Linked DNA regions of Rhinolophus ferrumequinum. Each later gene encodes a partner of the first gene's protein in a complex. Links are inferred from orthologs where the notes say so. Each region holds a gene or a part of one and is shown in the gene's direction. Other genes may lie near its edges.

Region 1 (7,023 bases):
TACTGGGTTCAAGGAGCTGATTTTCCCAATTTCCTGACCAACTTTCCTTGGGATCTGGGAACGGGAAAGTGAAAAAAACTCCTGAGAACGGGTGGGAATTCCCACCTGGAAACCCTCGTCCTATGTCTGCATAACATAGTGCTCAAGCAACGATTTATAAGATTTTCATCCTCTGCAGATGGATTCCTATGTGGGTTGGAAATATTCTCAAAAAGTTCTCATTGTCTCCCTTGGACTTCACTGCTTCACTAGGATCTCTCAAGTCTCCACCAAGTCTTTCCCACATGCTTTCCTGCAGGTATTTGATCTCAGCCGTTTGTTTGCTCTCTCCATTTGTTGTCTCTCTCCATTTGTATTAGTCAGGTTTCTCTAGTGAAACAGAATCAACAGGATATCCATCTATATGTGTAGCCCTCTCCTTCTCTCTCATTTGTCTCTCTATCCACCACTTATCTGGTAAGAGAACGAGACTGATGTAAGAACTCAGCTTACGGCTGTGGGGGCTGGTAGATCCCCAATCTGCAGGCTATGTTGGCAGCTGGAGACCCAGGGAAGAGCCAATGTTGCAGTTCAAATATGAAGGCCATCAGCTGGCAGAATTCCTTCTTGCTTGGGGGAGGTCGGTCTTTTTGTTCTATTCAGGCTTTCTTCTGATTGAATGAGGCCCACCCACAGAAGAGAGGGTATTCTACTTTACTCAAAGTCTACTGATTTAAATGTTAATCTTATCTAAAAACACCCTCACAGAAATGCCTAGAACAATGTTTGTCCACACCTCTGGGTACCGTGTTTCCCCCAAAATAAGACCTAGCCAGACAATCAGCTCTAATGTGTCTTTTGGAGCAAACATTAATATAAGACCCGGTCTTATTTTACTATAAGACCGGATCTTATCTAACATAAGACTGGGTCTTATATTAATTTTTGCTACAAAAGACGCATTAGAGCTGATTGTCTGGCTAGGTTTTATTTTTGGGGAAACACGGTACTGTGGCACAACCAAGGTGACACACAAAACTAACCTTCACAGCATTAAAATCCTGGCTAGTCTGCCACTTGCACAAAGTCGGAACGCCAACCTTGGCCTACTGAGTGTCACTCTATTCATTTCCTAACAAGCCCCCCTTAAATGGTGACCCACGACTTTTTACCTCTTGCCCCACATAGAACCTGCCCTTTCTGGGGGGCAAAGCCAATGGGTTGGGCAGCCAGTCCTATCCTGGGAATCCTGCTGTTTTCTCTGATCAAGCTGTGGAGTGGGGACTGGAGCAGTCCTGCCAAGAAGACCACACACACCCTTTGTTCTCACTGGAGGCTTGATCATTTTTTTCAAAAATAATGTGTCTCAATTTGTGGTTTATCTTTGGTTGATTTCCAGTTCCCTGACTTGGTTCATTTTGACAAATTTGTCCAGTTTTATAGTTTTTTTGTTTGTTTTCTTCTGGAGAGGAGTTGCTTACATCTTCACCCACCATCTTTAGAAGTCCCTCCAGCTTCATGTGTTTAGAAGCTCTGTCATTAGGCACACACACATTTACAATTGTTGTGTCTTCCTAATGAGCTGACCCTCTTATCATTATGAAATATCCTTCTTTATCTCTGGCAATACTCATTGTCTTGAAGTCCATTCTATCTAATGCTAATGTAGTGACTCCAGCCTTATTATACTCATTGTTTTCATGGCATCTCTTTTCTCCAGATCCATTTACTTTCAATCTATTTATATGTTTATATTAAAATGTCTCATATACAACCTGTAAATAGGGCCTGCTTTTTCTTAAACTTATTCTGATTATCTTTGCCTTTTAATTAGAATGTTTCATCTACTAACATTTGTTGTAGTTCTTAATGTGGTTGGATATGTGTCATTGAAAAAGTTTGTTTTCGGTTGTCTTCCTTGATTTTTGTTTTCTCTATCTTTCATTGCTTCTGTCCACTGGCAAAAATAACTCTCCAGATAAATCCACAAGAAAAACGGTTTATACGGGAAAAGGAAAAAGAAACAAAAACCACCACCACAGTGTGGGAACTCACACCTCCAGCACAGGCCTCCAACCTGCTACCTACCTGAAGAAGGAAAAATAATGAGCCCGGTTCCAAGATGGCTATTCTATTTATTAGCATCCCTCCCCCTGAAGTTACCACAAAGTTCAACAGGAAGTCAGTGCTAGAGAGTTGACAAGGGGCCCAACTCCACCCACAGTCCTCCCAGCTCCATGGTTAAGCATGCCAAGATGTCAGTTCACTTTTATCACTTCTTCTGGATTATTTTCATCCTTTGGAATTCTGCTTTATTTGCTGAGGAAAATAGCCATTGTGATTGCTTTGGGAAATCAAGGAAAGGCCAATTTTTGCATACAGAGAAGGAGAGGTTCTGTACTCTGTTTAAGAAGGTTCAGGTGACTTGGAATTTCATGTTTTACCCAAATGTCTCCAAATGAAATCTCAGGATCCCACTTCTCAATTAATGACTCACTCTTAACATAAGAGACTTTGGCAGGACTGTGTGTTCATCTTGCATCATTATTTACATCTTGAACAATTAGGTTTAGAGTCTGGACCTCAGTTCTGACTACTCTGCAGTTATGAAAATAAGAGATTTCTTTTAGGGCTGCTATGGGAGCTCTGCAGTTCTGTGGCTGTAACTTGAACAAGAAATGTAAAGACCTGAGCTTTCTGAATGTACTCCAGTACAGTCCATCCTACCCTATAGTATCTGGAGTCATCATTACTGCCAAACTATCTGACTGTAGCAGCTACTTAATTTCCCAAGGTCTTGCTATCTGCCAGTGCTTTCTTCCAAGCAGCCACACATGATAATATAAGCTATTTTGGTGCTCCAACATGCCATGGATTCCATCTTCAAAAAGACCCCAATGTATTTGAGTTCAGACATGTGAACAACCCAATCTTGGATTCCTGTCTGAGGATCTGTTCCCTGGGATCACTCCTATTACCAAGGACTGTATAGGAGGGACCAACCTGCAAAACAGAAACGACTCTAACAATTTCAACATAGGGGATTTAATACAGGGAATTAGTTACATAGGCGGTTGAAACAGATGTGAAGAACTGAGATTAGCAAGTGCAGAAAGTGGCTACTTTTCATAGGGCTGAAGATACAGCAGTTGTTACTATTGCCCATATTCGAGTAAGATCTGTGATGGGAGTTGTAGAGAAGAGGTTGGAACCAAAGAAAGGTTTGACTGTAGCTGTGTGGCCTGTACAGCTCCTGGCTGGCTGCCAGGATCCTACACCTAGACCAATTGATGTGTGGATTGGGTCATTTGTTCCCAGATTGGGCAGTTCTCCTCCTGCACTAACCTGTAAGCGGCCGTTAATTCTCTTTAAAACGATTTGTAATTACCTGTTTGTTTCTCTCCAGGCCTTTCCCCTCTTTTACTCTTTATCTGAGTGATGACCATAGTTATCTGAGATAAGGAGAGAGAGGTATAGGGCTAGGGGATAGTAAGAAGCCACACACTGCTCTTATGAAAAACTAGATAATGTAGCAGGTATCGGTGCTCAACCAAATGTTAAAAATCACAAAGCCCTTGTATTCCTTTAAAGACTTCTTCCACTGAAAATGTGACTCGAACCAATGACTTTCTAAAAAAATGACGGACTATAAAGGTGCTACTGGACACCAAGCACTTTCACAGCAAGTCAGTGGCTGTCCGACCCTCGGGGACGTTTGGGGGTCTGCGTCTTCCTGACCCTTGGGCAGGTGTGGGGGCATCTGAGTACCGCGAACAATCCGTGCAGAGAGCGGCTCATGCGCTTGGTGCCGGAACTCTCAGGGCCTGGCGGCGGTGATCGGGGGAACGCGCGCGAACGCGCCGGGAACTCTTAGGCCAGCGCACGGGAGGCTCCGAGCGCCCGGAAGAAGCGGGGCATTGTGGGAAGGACCCGCAGTTTCGGCGGGTTCCGTTAAAATGGCGCCCTTGTCATCAGTGATGCCCGCGGGGCCTTAGCCTATTGGGGACACCGGGAGCCCGCAGGGCGCGGAGCGGGTGACGGGCACGGCGGGGTCTCCTGAGCGCGCCAGGCTCGGGGCGATCGGGCTAGGGCCCGCGGCTCCACGGGGTCCCCGTGGGCAGTCCCGGGAGAGGATGACGACCCCCGACCAGAAGTCGCCGAACGTCTTGCTGCAGAACCTGTGCTGCCGGATCCTGGGCAAGAGCGAAGGTAGCGGGGTTAGGCCGGGCAGCTCGAGATCCGAGGCGTGTCCTGGAGGCTGCTGTCTGCGCGTGCAGCGCGGAGGGGTCCAAGGGACTGGCGGGGCCGAGGCAGGGTGGTCCCCGGGTTCTGCAGGCCGGCGGTAGTGGAACCGCCGGCCAACGGCGTGCTGCAGCCTGTGGAGTGGAGGGATGGGAGGGTCGGGGTCCCTCAGGGCGGAGGAAGGAGGGCAGGACCTGGAGCTGAGTCACCGCTCCCTCCGCGCTCCGGTTCCGAAAGTGAAGCCCGGGAGGACATCAGCTCGCGAACGCGTCCACCTTCCCTAAAGTCACAGGACTCCGCAGGAGGCTTCCGCGCTTATTTGGGTGGAGAGAGCGGTGGACTGGTCCCCAGGCAATATACTGAGGGTGATGCTGCGGAGGGAGACGCCAGGTGGTGGCGAGCCACATCATTTTCCTTTTTCCGTTAGGAAAGTATAGCAGATTTGCATATGATGCGAAGGGGTATTTAAGACTTGAACTTGCCATATTTTTCTGCTGTAAAGAGCTGAGGGTTGGATTTGGTATAAAGCTATTACTGGAGAGTTCACATATCGAATACTGCTACCAAAACCCAATCCTGTGCAGTATGTAAAGCCATTCCGTTGTTGTGGTACTTTTGAAAAATGGCACTCCGTGTCGTTTCTTGATACTTGCTTTGGCGGGAGAAGGGGGAATGGGGATGCACCGTGAAAGAATTTTCTGGGTAATTGAAGCAACTGGATTACTTATTCCTTGAGGACCACAATGTGGAAAAGAAGTGCAGTTTTACGGGAACACTTTAAACAAAATTACATTTAAAACATTTAGGCTGTATTTTGACCTTTCATAACTCATGACAATTAGCGTGTCTAATTTATTTGATGTTGTGATAACCTTAGGAGAAAAGATGAATTTTTTGGTACTCCATTAAATGAACTGGTTTCACACAGTTCTTGCTACATTTTATGAGGTTTCGCTGTCACTTTATTCATCTAACAAATCTTTGGACACTCTCACCTTCACCTCCCCTCCAGGCACTATGCTAGGCGCTGGTGATGGAGAGATACACAGACAAATCATTCCTCTAATCTTATATTCTAATGGAGGAGACGTGATAAAGTAGGTGAATGTTTAATGTTAGTGATAAGTGCTGTGATTAAAAAGAAAGTAACCTTAAAGGGATATTGAGGGAAGAGGTAAGGGAAAGCCTTTGAGGAGATAATGTAAACAGACTGTAATGGAGTGAGGGAACATTGGAGAGGGTACAATGACCTTAAGGTGGGCATGGACGTGGCATGCTGTCATCTGTCTTTGTGTCTGGCTCTTCTGTATGTGTTATCTGTAGCCCTCTGAATTACCTTTCTGATTTGATGTTCTTAACCATGGGAGAAATCAGAGAGCTAAGATTGTTGATTATACATCCTTTTTTGAAAGTCTTTTAATTGTTTTTATTAAAAAAGATTTATTTATTTAGCTTTCTAACTTTGTGCTTGTGCCTTCAATGCTTTCACGACGATTTTCTGCTCCTCAATAAGGAAAGCACACTTGATCCTGTCATGGACACATTTAGCACACATGGATTCATCATAGGCCCTGCTGACATGTTTTTTCATTGTAGACAACCTTATTAGAACTTTAGTTCCAACAGCACCAACGCCACGAGGTCGGTCTGGGCACAAGCCACATGCAGATTTTGGTGCTTTCCCAACCTTCTTGGTATAAAGGTAAACAATTCTGTTACCAGGAGTTCTAGACAGCCCAGTTTTGTTAGAGGCTGTATTGCAGGACAGCCTCTGACGGTATGTCAGACTCTGGACCATTCTGAATGCCTGTAGACACCGTTCCTGGAAGAGCATGGCACAATTACATTCAGATCAGGGTTTTCATTGTACCAGTGGGTTCTAAATTTTCCTCCAGGAATAAACCACACATCCATTCCCATTGTCACACCTGGACTTTGAAGACCATTCATTGTGATGTTTCTCAATGAAGTGTGTGTGTGTGTGTGTGTGTGTGTGTGTGTGTGTCTGTGTGTGTTTTAATTTTAAGCTCCTTTTGATTTACTTAGTTTCACCCCTTCTAGGAGGTTCAAACATTCTCTTCAGCAGAGTTCTGTACCCTCCTACCCCTATTTAGAATTATGTCTAAGTTAAGAGTAAATAGGTGCTCTGAGATCCTGAGGGGATCTCTCTGAATAAAATATATCATAAAATCCATTAAAGGTCATGCTCTTTTTGCTCTGTTCTGGACAGTTAGGACTAACAAACAATTATGTTCATAATTCCAAATTATGCTACTGTTTACTGAAGAATTTATAAGTCATAGCTTGCCTTGTTCTGTTTTAATTTGTTCTACCTTCATGAGCGAAGGAACAGTATCCATTGCTGCCGTTAGTGTTTGACATTTAAAAAAAAATTTTATTAATGGGTATTTTATATGATAACTAAGTAGAACATTTAATTACTTCATTTTCTAATGACATGTTACAAACAATTGGCCTTACGCTTTTGCAATTTTATTGCTTTTTTGTATTATGAAATCGAGGCATAATAGATACTTGTTACTTTTAATCTCTTAATGTGAATTTTCTGTGAATCAATTTTTCATAAAGTATTTTTAAAAAATATTTTACAGTTGAAATTTTTCAATGGGACTGTCAGAAGCAAAGCACCTAACTATAATGGTGCTTGACATTTTTATAAAGTTACTATAACCATTATTTCCCACCTTTCCCAGCTTCTAAGAGCTGTGGATTTGCTTGCAACACATACTGCCATCCAGTGACAGTAAAATTCTCTCTTCATATGCCTGCTTCTCTCCTGGA
Region 2 (7,583 bases), on another chromosome or scaffold:
GTGACAGGCTGCCTCTTCCGGGCCACTGCGGGGCAGGGCAATGACCTGAGCACTCATCAGGGCTTCCATCTCTTCAAAGAAAGGGCAGGTCTCTGGTGGATGGCCACTCTTGACTTTCCGATAGCTCTTCTGGAGACCTTTGAACTTGGTCCGACACTGTTCCAGGGTCCGGAGGAAGCCATACTCCCGCAGCCGCTCAGCTACAGCCCCATATACTTGGCTGTTTCGATGACAGTTTCGGAGAGCCTCATAAAATTCATTCTGACTGAGAATTGCAAGGAGAGTTCTGGTCTCTTCATAGCCCCAGTGCACACCGGCCACCTTCTCATCCTCAAAGCCCCAGGGATCCTGTTCCACCCAGCTTCTCTCTCTCCTGGATGGTAACAGATCAGCATGCATTCGTCTGTCTCCTGTGTGACTGCCTCTTGGCAGTTCCTTTTCCTTGGAGCCTACATCTGGGATCCAAGACTCTCCTCGCTCCAACCTGGAGACCACACCGGATTTAGGAAATGGAAATCCTGCTTGCAGGGAAGCAAACAAAGGATATCATAGTTTGGACTGACCATAAAAAACATCTTTGAGTTCAGACCTGCCTTTTTTTACCCAAGAGACTTATAAAGAAAGTGTCTAAGGAAATATTTTCAGAAAGTTCAGTGGGTTGAAGAAAGGGAAAAATACATGAAACCAAAAAATGAGAACTATTTTATTTTCCAAAGCAGGGTAGCAAGAGAGGAAAAGGTTTTGTTGGTATGTTCAGAGCAGGTAATTCTGTTCCAAGGTGCTCCCTAGCCCTCCTGGCCTCCTGTAGGCAGGTCCTAGCCCTGCTGGGAACAGCCACCTCCTGTCTCCTGTAGTTCTCCACTTGGGGCTAGAGAACTAAACTCATAGTGATTTCAAGGGGAACAGAAGGAAGATGGTCTTCAGCCCATCTGTTTCCTTCACACTCAGTCACTAAGTTCTAAAGGTTTTTCCCTTAGTATGCCCTTTCCGTATTCCTACTGCCACCATCCAAGTCTTACCTTCTCACACCCAGATAACGGTCACTGTTCTACCAAACTCCAGGCTCTTGCTTCCTCAGCTCACATACGTACTATACTGCTGGACCTTAACCTGAGTGCCCACTATGCACTGTCCATTCATATCAGAATCTTCCCCTATCCCAATTTAACCCACTTCAAGAAGCTGTATTTGCCAAAGCCCCCTTGAAGCCTTCCTACAGCCCTCCCTTATCTCCCACTCTGTTATACTCACACAATTGAGTGACAAACCATTGTTTGACATTGTTTCAGTACAGTTCAGTTCAGCACATATTTATATTTGCTGTTTAGTTCTCAATCATATTGTAAGCTCTCTGAGGATAGGCATCTTTTCTTATTGCAGAATACCCTGCAAGGTGTTGAGCACATGATAGGTGTTCAAAAACTGATTAATTCTGCAAGTCTGTGTGTGTGTGGTTGAGGGAATGCATCTGAATGACTAAACAGACCATTACCAAACTGGCTGAAAAGGCTGGCGTTTTGGCCGATAAGGTCAGAATTCAGAACAACCTCAATAAGTTAAAGAAATGATCAAAGTAAAAAACTTACAATTTGGAGTTCAACAGAGTACAAAGAAGAAAAACAAGCTCTACGCAGTCATGTACAAGAATAGGCGCTAGGCACAAAGACAATGGGGACGGCTACGAGAGTCCTGGGAGTTACCAGGTGAACAATAATCATCAAAGAATTAGTCGAGCTACTCGGAAAGAAAATACAGTGAAATTTTGAAGTAAAATTCTTACTCTGCCTCAACCTACCAGACCCTCACTGGAATAATATATCTAATTTAGTTCTCCACAATTAACATATTTGGAGAACTTAAAAGTTTCCAAGGGAGAGTAACAAAAACAGTATGTCTGAATAATGGAGCTTCTGGCGAAAAGTTTAAAGAAACAAATACAGTTTATTTTGGAGAAGGAAAATGACTAAAAGATGTACCTTCAAATATAGAAAATAATTTTTACCTAGAAAATACTGACCTAGTATCATTACCAAGAGGAAATAAAATAGTTCCGAGTTCTGAAAGAAACTAGGGAACCATCCTCTGGCAGACTTATCAAAAGAGGAAATAACAAGAATACTTACTGCAGCAGAGCTAAACTACATGCCTTCAGGAGGTCCCCAAAAACTGCATACTCTACAATTTTCACTCATTCTTGAAATCCCTTTCCCACTCACTATTCCCAACCCTACTTCCCAACTTAGAATGGCATCCTATCTTCCCATATGAATCTACTCCTCACCGCTCCTTTGCAAAGGTCTGAGCTTCTCCTTTGGGTTCATCTGCTCCTGCGGTCCCAGGTCTGGGCTTCTTGCCCTCTCTTTCTTGGGTACACCCCTGGGCTGAGGTTCCACTGACTCCTGCCGAACACTTAATAACTCTCGTGATGATTTCAGGGGTGTCATCTTCTCCAAGCGCACTTCCTGCCCCTTCACAGAGACTGTGACCTAGAAACAACCCCCATTAATTGTCACTGCAAGGTCATAATGAGGGGCATTCCCAGAGGAGATTATTTAATACCCCAAAAGAGACCATCCTCTTGGGACATGGCTAGGGTTGGGTGAGGGGTGTTAATAGTGAACAAGGGTCATTCTTATTCTGTTACTGTTAGCTTAGAGCAGCCGGAATTCCGGAAGGAAAAGATCAAAACAGTAAACCCAACTATAGGCTAGAAAAATAAGTCCACTTTCTTCCTTATTAAGTAAAAAACTATGAAACTATGAATAATTCATTATGACAGGGTACCAAAGGTACACCCAAGTAGCCTCTCTAGATGATCTGTGTCTGAAAAAGTTACCTGTTCCAGGATCAGAAGTATAAGCATCACCACGGGAGATTATGCCCCTCTTTAAACCTGTCTATACCTTAATTTGGCCTTTTATCCTTGCCCCAGCCCAGTTCACACACTTCTGAATTCCCCCTCCCTTCTCACCGAACGTCCAGGTCTTCCAGGCTCTCTTTCTAAATCTTCCACCAGAGCCACAGCCTCTTCTCCACTTTCTGGACATTGCTCCTGTACCCACTTCTGGATTTCCCCAGGTAAGATGGTCAGGAATTGCTCTAGCACCAACAATTCTATAATCTGCTCCTTGGTGCGCACCTCCGGCCTTAGCCACCGACAGCAAAGTTCCCAGAGTTGGCTGAAAGCCTCACGGGGCCCAGCTACCTCCTGGTAATGAAATTTCCTGAAGCGCTGTCGGTAGGTCTCCGAGTTAGTGCCATTTCCTCTCAGAGTGGGTTTGGCCATCATTCACAGCAGAAAGCAGCTTCCCTCCACTTAAGGGTCTGGGTTCCAGGGCTTACACCTATCTTCCCATGTCTTTGGAGAATTACCTGCAGATGAGTCTCTCTCTCTTTAAGAAGAGTGGCCTCCTAGGGTAGAGAGAGAGGGCACTATCAGAAGGAATATACTCATATGTCTAAAGTCTTGCCAGAGCTGGCCCGACTTTCCATATATATGCTCCATGTGGCCATCTGAGGCATCATCAACTCCAGGACAGCAAGCCAAAACAGCATGGAGAGAAACCTTTCAAAAGCTGCATTTCTGGGCGACTTCCCAGGGGAGCCCGGGGAAGCAGCAAAGAGTTGTCTGCTCCTCTTCCACCTCCCCCAAATCTGATCCCACTTAGCTCCCTTAACCAATGTTGCACAATGAGTTTGAACCATATGGGAAACCTGGAGCTCAGAGGATCTAAAGGCAAGTCACCATCGTGTTCAAGGCAACAAAAAGCCTGTGTCCCGCGGGTCGCAGGTGACCTCACCCAGTACCTCCGCAGTGCTTCCCGAGGCCCTCTACGTCCGCCCTGCCCCCTTGGACACCACAACTGGCAATACCCACCCCAGACAAAAATCAAGTACTGAATCTCGGGTCTTTGTTTTCCCTCACAGCAGAAGTAACCGCTCAGCAAAACATTCGGGAACTACTGACGGGAGACCTCGCGCATTGGGAGAAGTTGGTTTTGGCTTCTGACGCGAGGGCCGGGTGGGCTTGGGGAGAGTCGCACTGAGTTGGTGGAGAGGAGGATTCTGAGGGGGTAGTAGTAATGGGTCTCCTGAGGACGAGCTCGGGTGCCGGCCGGAAGATCCGAGTGCTGCGAGGTTAGCGGGCGCGGAGTTCAGCTCTAGGAGCGGCTGGTGCGGGGTTCCGGCCTCTTTGTCTTCGCTCCCTCCGGCCAGGTCACTCTCAGAGCCGTCGTGCAGTCCCCTCCAGAGGCCCCCAACCCGGCTAAGGCTCTGAGAGCACCTTCCGGTCCATCCCCGGGAGTGTCTCCCTCTAGGGCTGTCCCTCAACCCACTCGCATCTATGTCCGCGGGCCAGCCTCACCCACCCGGGGTCGGCCCCAGGCCCGGCAATCCAGCCTCCTAGTCCAGCTCCAAAACCGGAAGTCCGAGTGGGTGACTCAGGCGCTGAGGGCGCATGCGCAAAGGCAGCTACCAGGACTCTCCGGCGGAGCCGGGGCTGGAGCTAACGGGGAACCCAGCAGAGCCGGCGCACTTCCGGACGCGGCGCGTGGACCCCTTTCCCGCTCCCTGTGCGCTCCTCCCGCAGCAGTCGCGGCGGGTAGATTCAGGAGGAACCGTAGGTCCCAAAAGCCTGTGCACGTTTCCAGAAGGGAGCATTCGACTCTGCGGTCGCCTGGAGAGGCGCTGGAGGAGGGAGCGACGTATATAGGGACTTGAGATCCGGCGTGGGAATGATCCACGAACTGCTCTTGGCTCTGAGCGGGTACCCAGGGTCCATTTTCACCTGGAACAAGCGGAGCGGCCTTCAGGTCTGTCCGGCTCAGAACGCGGAAACTGACGGGAGCTGAATGGGTAGACCTGAGCCAAAACGTGGGGGAATTCTGAGGGACTGAGGGGGCGGGCCTTGCAGGGCCGAGGGGCGGGGGGAATGGCCCTGCTCAGGTACTGGAGGGCAGTGCCCCGAGGGGCCTACGGCTGACGTAACACCTTGAGAGGGCTGGGCTTAGGCTGGGAAACGGAGGGCAGACCCAGAATGACCCCGCCTTCGGGGAGGGAGAGAGGGAGCCCCGAATCCCGCTTCAAGTTGAGGTGTTTGAGCGAGTTGCTGGGCAACTGGATGTAAAAGTGAAGGAGGCACTTTCTCCCATTTTCTCGCTTGCACTGTTTTAAATTGAGTTTTGAAAGCTAGACCAGAGGATAACACACAATAAAGGTTCAGCCAATTTTGTTGCATGAAAAAAAATGAATGATCATTTCTCAGGAAATTTCCCTCATGATCATTTCTCAGGAAATTTGTGCAATAGGAGAACTTGGAAGGGGGCCTTCCTGTAACCAGGAATGCATGAGGAGGAAGGGCTGTGTACTAGATGCATTATCTCATTTACTCTTCATAACCACCTAACTCCACACAGATAGTAATGAGCAAGCTTGGCCTTGAACCCAGGTCTGTCAGGCGCCAGTATCTGAACTACTCTTGTACTTCTGCCTCCAGTAATGTTATCTAATCCTCTGGATAAGTTAGTAACTAGGTATTGTTAGCCCTAGTTTACAAATGAGCAAACTGAAGCTCAGAGAACTTTTATGGTTGGTGGTTAGTCCTGATAATGGCAAGAGTTGTAACTAGCTCTGTCTAATGACAGTCATGCCTATTCATATGAGACTTGGCAGAATAGGCTGGGGAAGAGCAGAAAAATTATATTTTTAGTCTATAAAACCTATAAACCAAACAGATTCCTATTGTTATTTATTTTCCCCTGTAAAACTAGCACAATGCCAGGCATATAGGAGGAAAATGTTCAGGAAGTATTTGTGTGTGCTTTATGATCTGAAGTAAAAAGAGATAACAATATAGAAAAGATAGCTGCCTTCCTTTCTTATAAAAAAGTTTCCATCAGATGTTTTCCTCAGGGTCTCAGCTTTAAAGTCACCTCAGAAAAACTTTCTCTGACCATCTCTTTCAGTATCCTCCTCCCCTATGCCATTATTTTCTATCACAGCAACTTGTTTTTTTCCCTTAGAGGACTTAACCACAAGTCATATTATTTATTGTTGTCACCTCTTCCTAGTCTTTTTCTTGCACAGATTGCCCATGGAGGCAAAGACCACAGTGGTCTTCATGGATGTACCAGAAGCACCTGGCACAGTTTGTGCCACAGAGTAGATATTTGTGTAAAAAAAGGCCACCAAAACCAGTAAATACTGCATACTTTCTGCAGAGCAGTGGTTTTCACATTGAATAAAGGGGAAAATTGTCATGAATGCCCAATGTTGATAAAAATCATTTTATTGTCATATTGAATATGTATACATATTACGCTAAGTATAAACTCAAGCATATTGCTCTCTTGAACAGCTATAAAACCAAATATTTTTACAAAGTAAGCAAAACTACCAAATTTACCAATTCACATTAACACTGGCACTATTGACATTTTGGACAGGATAATTCTCTGTTGTGGAGGGCTCTCCTGTGCATTGTAGGATGTTTAGTAAAATCCAAGGCCTCTGCTCACAGGAGGCCAGTAATACCCCGAGTTGTGGCAACCAAAAATATCTCCAGCCATTACGAAATTTCCTTTGGGGGGCAAAATTGGCCCTGATTGAGAACCAGTGATATAATGTGACATATACTGTTGTTTTGCTGAAACTAAATCACCAACATTGAATTTAATAGTAGAATGACTTTGCCACAGATCTGGCTTTATATTTTCTGTTTTGACTTCAGTAACTCTAACGTAGAGAATGCCTGTTCATATAACTAGGTTACACCAAATGATATCAATAACTTCAAGGTATTGTTTGCTGTTATAGAATAACTAGACCTTCAGCTTTTCTAAAACTGTGCCAAAAAGCACTGCTCAAAATGCCAGTTTTAATGGGAGTATCACTTGCTAGCTGGGTAGAGCTGTCCCAATAATAAAACTATTGCTTACATATATTGAATACTTGTTATGTACTTGGCACATGTGATGTACATGTCATAACTTATTTAATCCTCACAATTATTATCGCTGCGTTATAGGTATGAAAACTGAGGCATAGAGAGGTATTGAAATCTGCCTAAGATTTCAAGCAAGTAAGAGGCAACTCAGGGATTCAAACCCAGACAGCCTGGCTCCAAAGACCAGGTTCTTAAGCACTACATCATGATGCCTCTGAGTTATTAATTTGTGGATATGGTTATCATTGTGTTATTAAAATCTACATTAAGGGGATTCCTAATCAAATTATTATGGACTCAGAAACAGAAAAATTCTTCTTTGCCTATTTATTACCACATTTACTGTCATAGAAAGATGGCATCCACAAAATACAATACTCACTATACGAATGTGCAATATGCTAAGCTCTTTGGGGGTAGCAACTATATCTAATCTTGTTCAATATTTAATTTCAGAACGTTAACACAGTGCCTGGGATAAGTAAGTTGGTTGATTCTCCAAAGAAGATATATAGTGGCCAATAAACAAATGAAAAGATGATCAATATCAGTAATCATTAGGGAAATGCAAATCAAAAGCATAGTGAGATACCACTTCATACCCTTTAGGATGGCTATTATTCAAAAAAACAAAAACAAA

The links. The genes of interacting proteins can lie anywhere in the genome.
Region 2: the proteins of TUBGCP3 (region 1) and TUBGCP4 are in contact, whole or in part, in a cryo-EM structure (PDB 7QJ0), measured with the Homo sapiens proteins. The link is inferred for Rhinolophus ferrumequinum from reciprocal best matches to the Homo sapiens genes TUBGCP3 and TUBGCP4. Residues at the interface, in NP_006313.1 of Homo sapiens: Arg252, Asp253, Tyr256, Gln259, Ile261, Asp262, Lys264, Arg305, Ser312, Leu313, Arg315, Leu319, Gln322, Ser323, Cys325, Ala326, His329, Arg333, Tyr336, Arg337, Ser340, His343, Ser344, His424, Pro425, Tyr593, His595; in NP_001273343.1 of Homo sapiens: His35, Pro36, Ser37, Glu38, Ser40, Val41, Arg44, His116, Leu117, Ser118, Ser120, His121, Tyr124, Phe125, Asp127, Gln128, Leu131, Pro134, Lys159, His160, Cys162, Gly163, Gly164, Leu165, Pro166, Arg169, Leu630, Ser631.

Annotation. Positions count from the first base shown.
Region 1 is NC_046287.1:55,254,398-55,261,420, reverse strand, and holds the start of TUBGCP3 (gamma-tubulin complex component 3), read left to right. Parts: upstream 1-3,882; 5' UTR 3,883-4,112; coding exon 4,113-4,188; intron 4,189-5,677; coding exon of another isoform or gene 5,678-6,019; intron 6,020-7,023. Other genes in the region: 60S ribosomal protein L34-like, read right to left, coding at 5,678-6,019. UniProt on the Homo sapiens protein: Component of the gamma-tubulin ring complex (gTuRC) which mediates microtubule nucleation.
Region 2 is NC_046289.1:62,429,725-62,437,307, reverse strand, and holds the start of TUBGCP4 (gamma-tubulin complex component 4), read left to right. Parts: upstream 1-4,514; 5' UTR 4,515-4,733; coding exon 4,734-4,811; intron 4,812-7,583. Other genes in the region: ZSCAN29 (zinc finger and SCAN domain-containing protein 29), read right to left, coding at 1-521, 2,282-2,486, 2,972-3,289. UniProt on the Homo sapiens protein: Component of the gamma-tubulin ring complex (gTuRC) which mediates microtubule nucleation.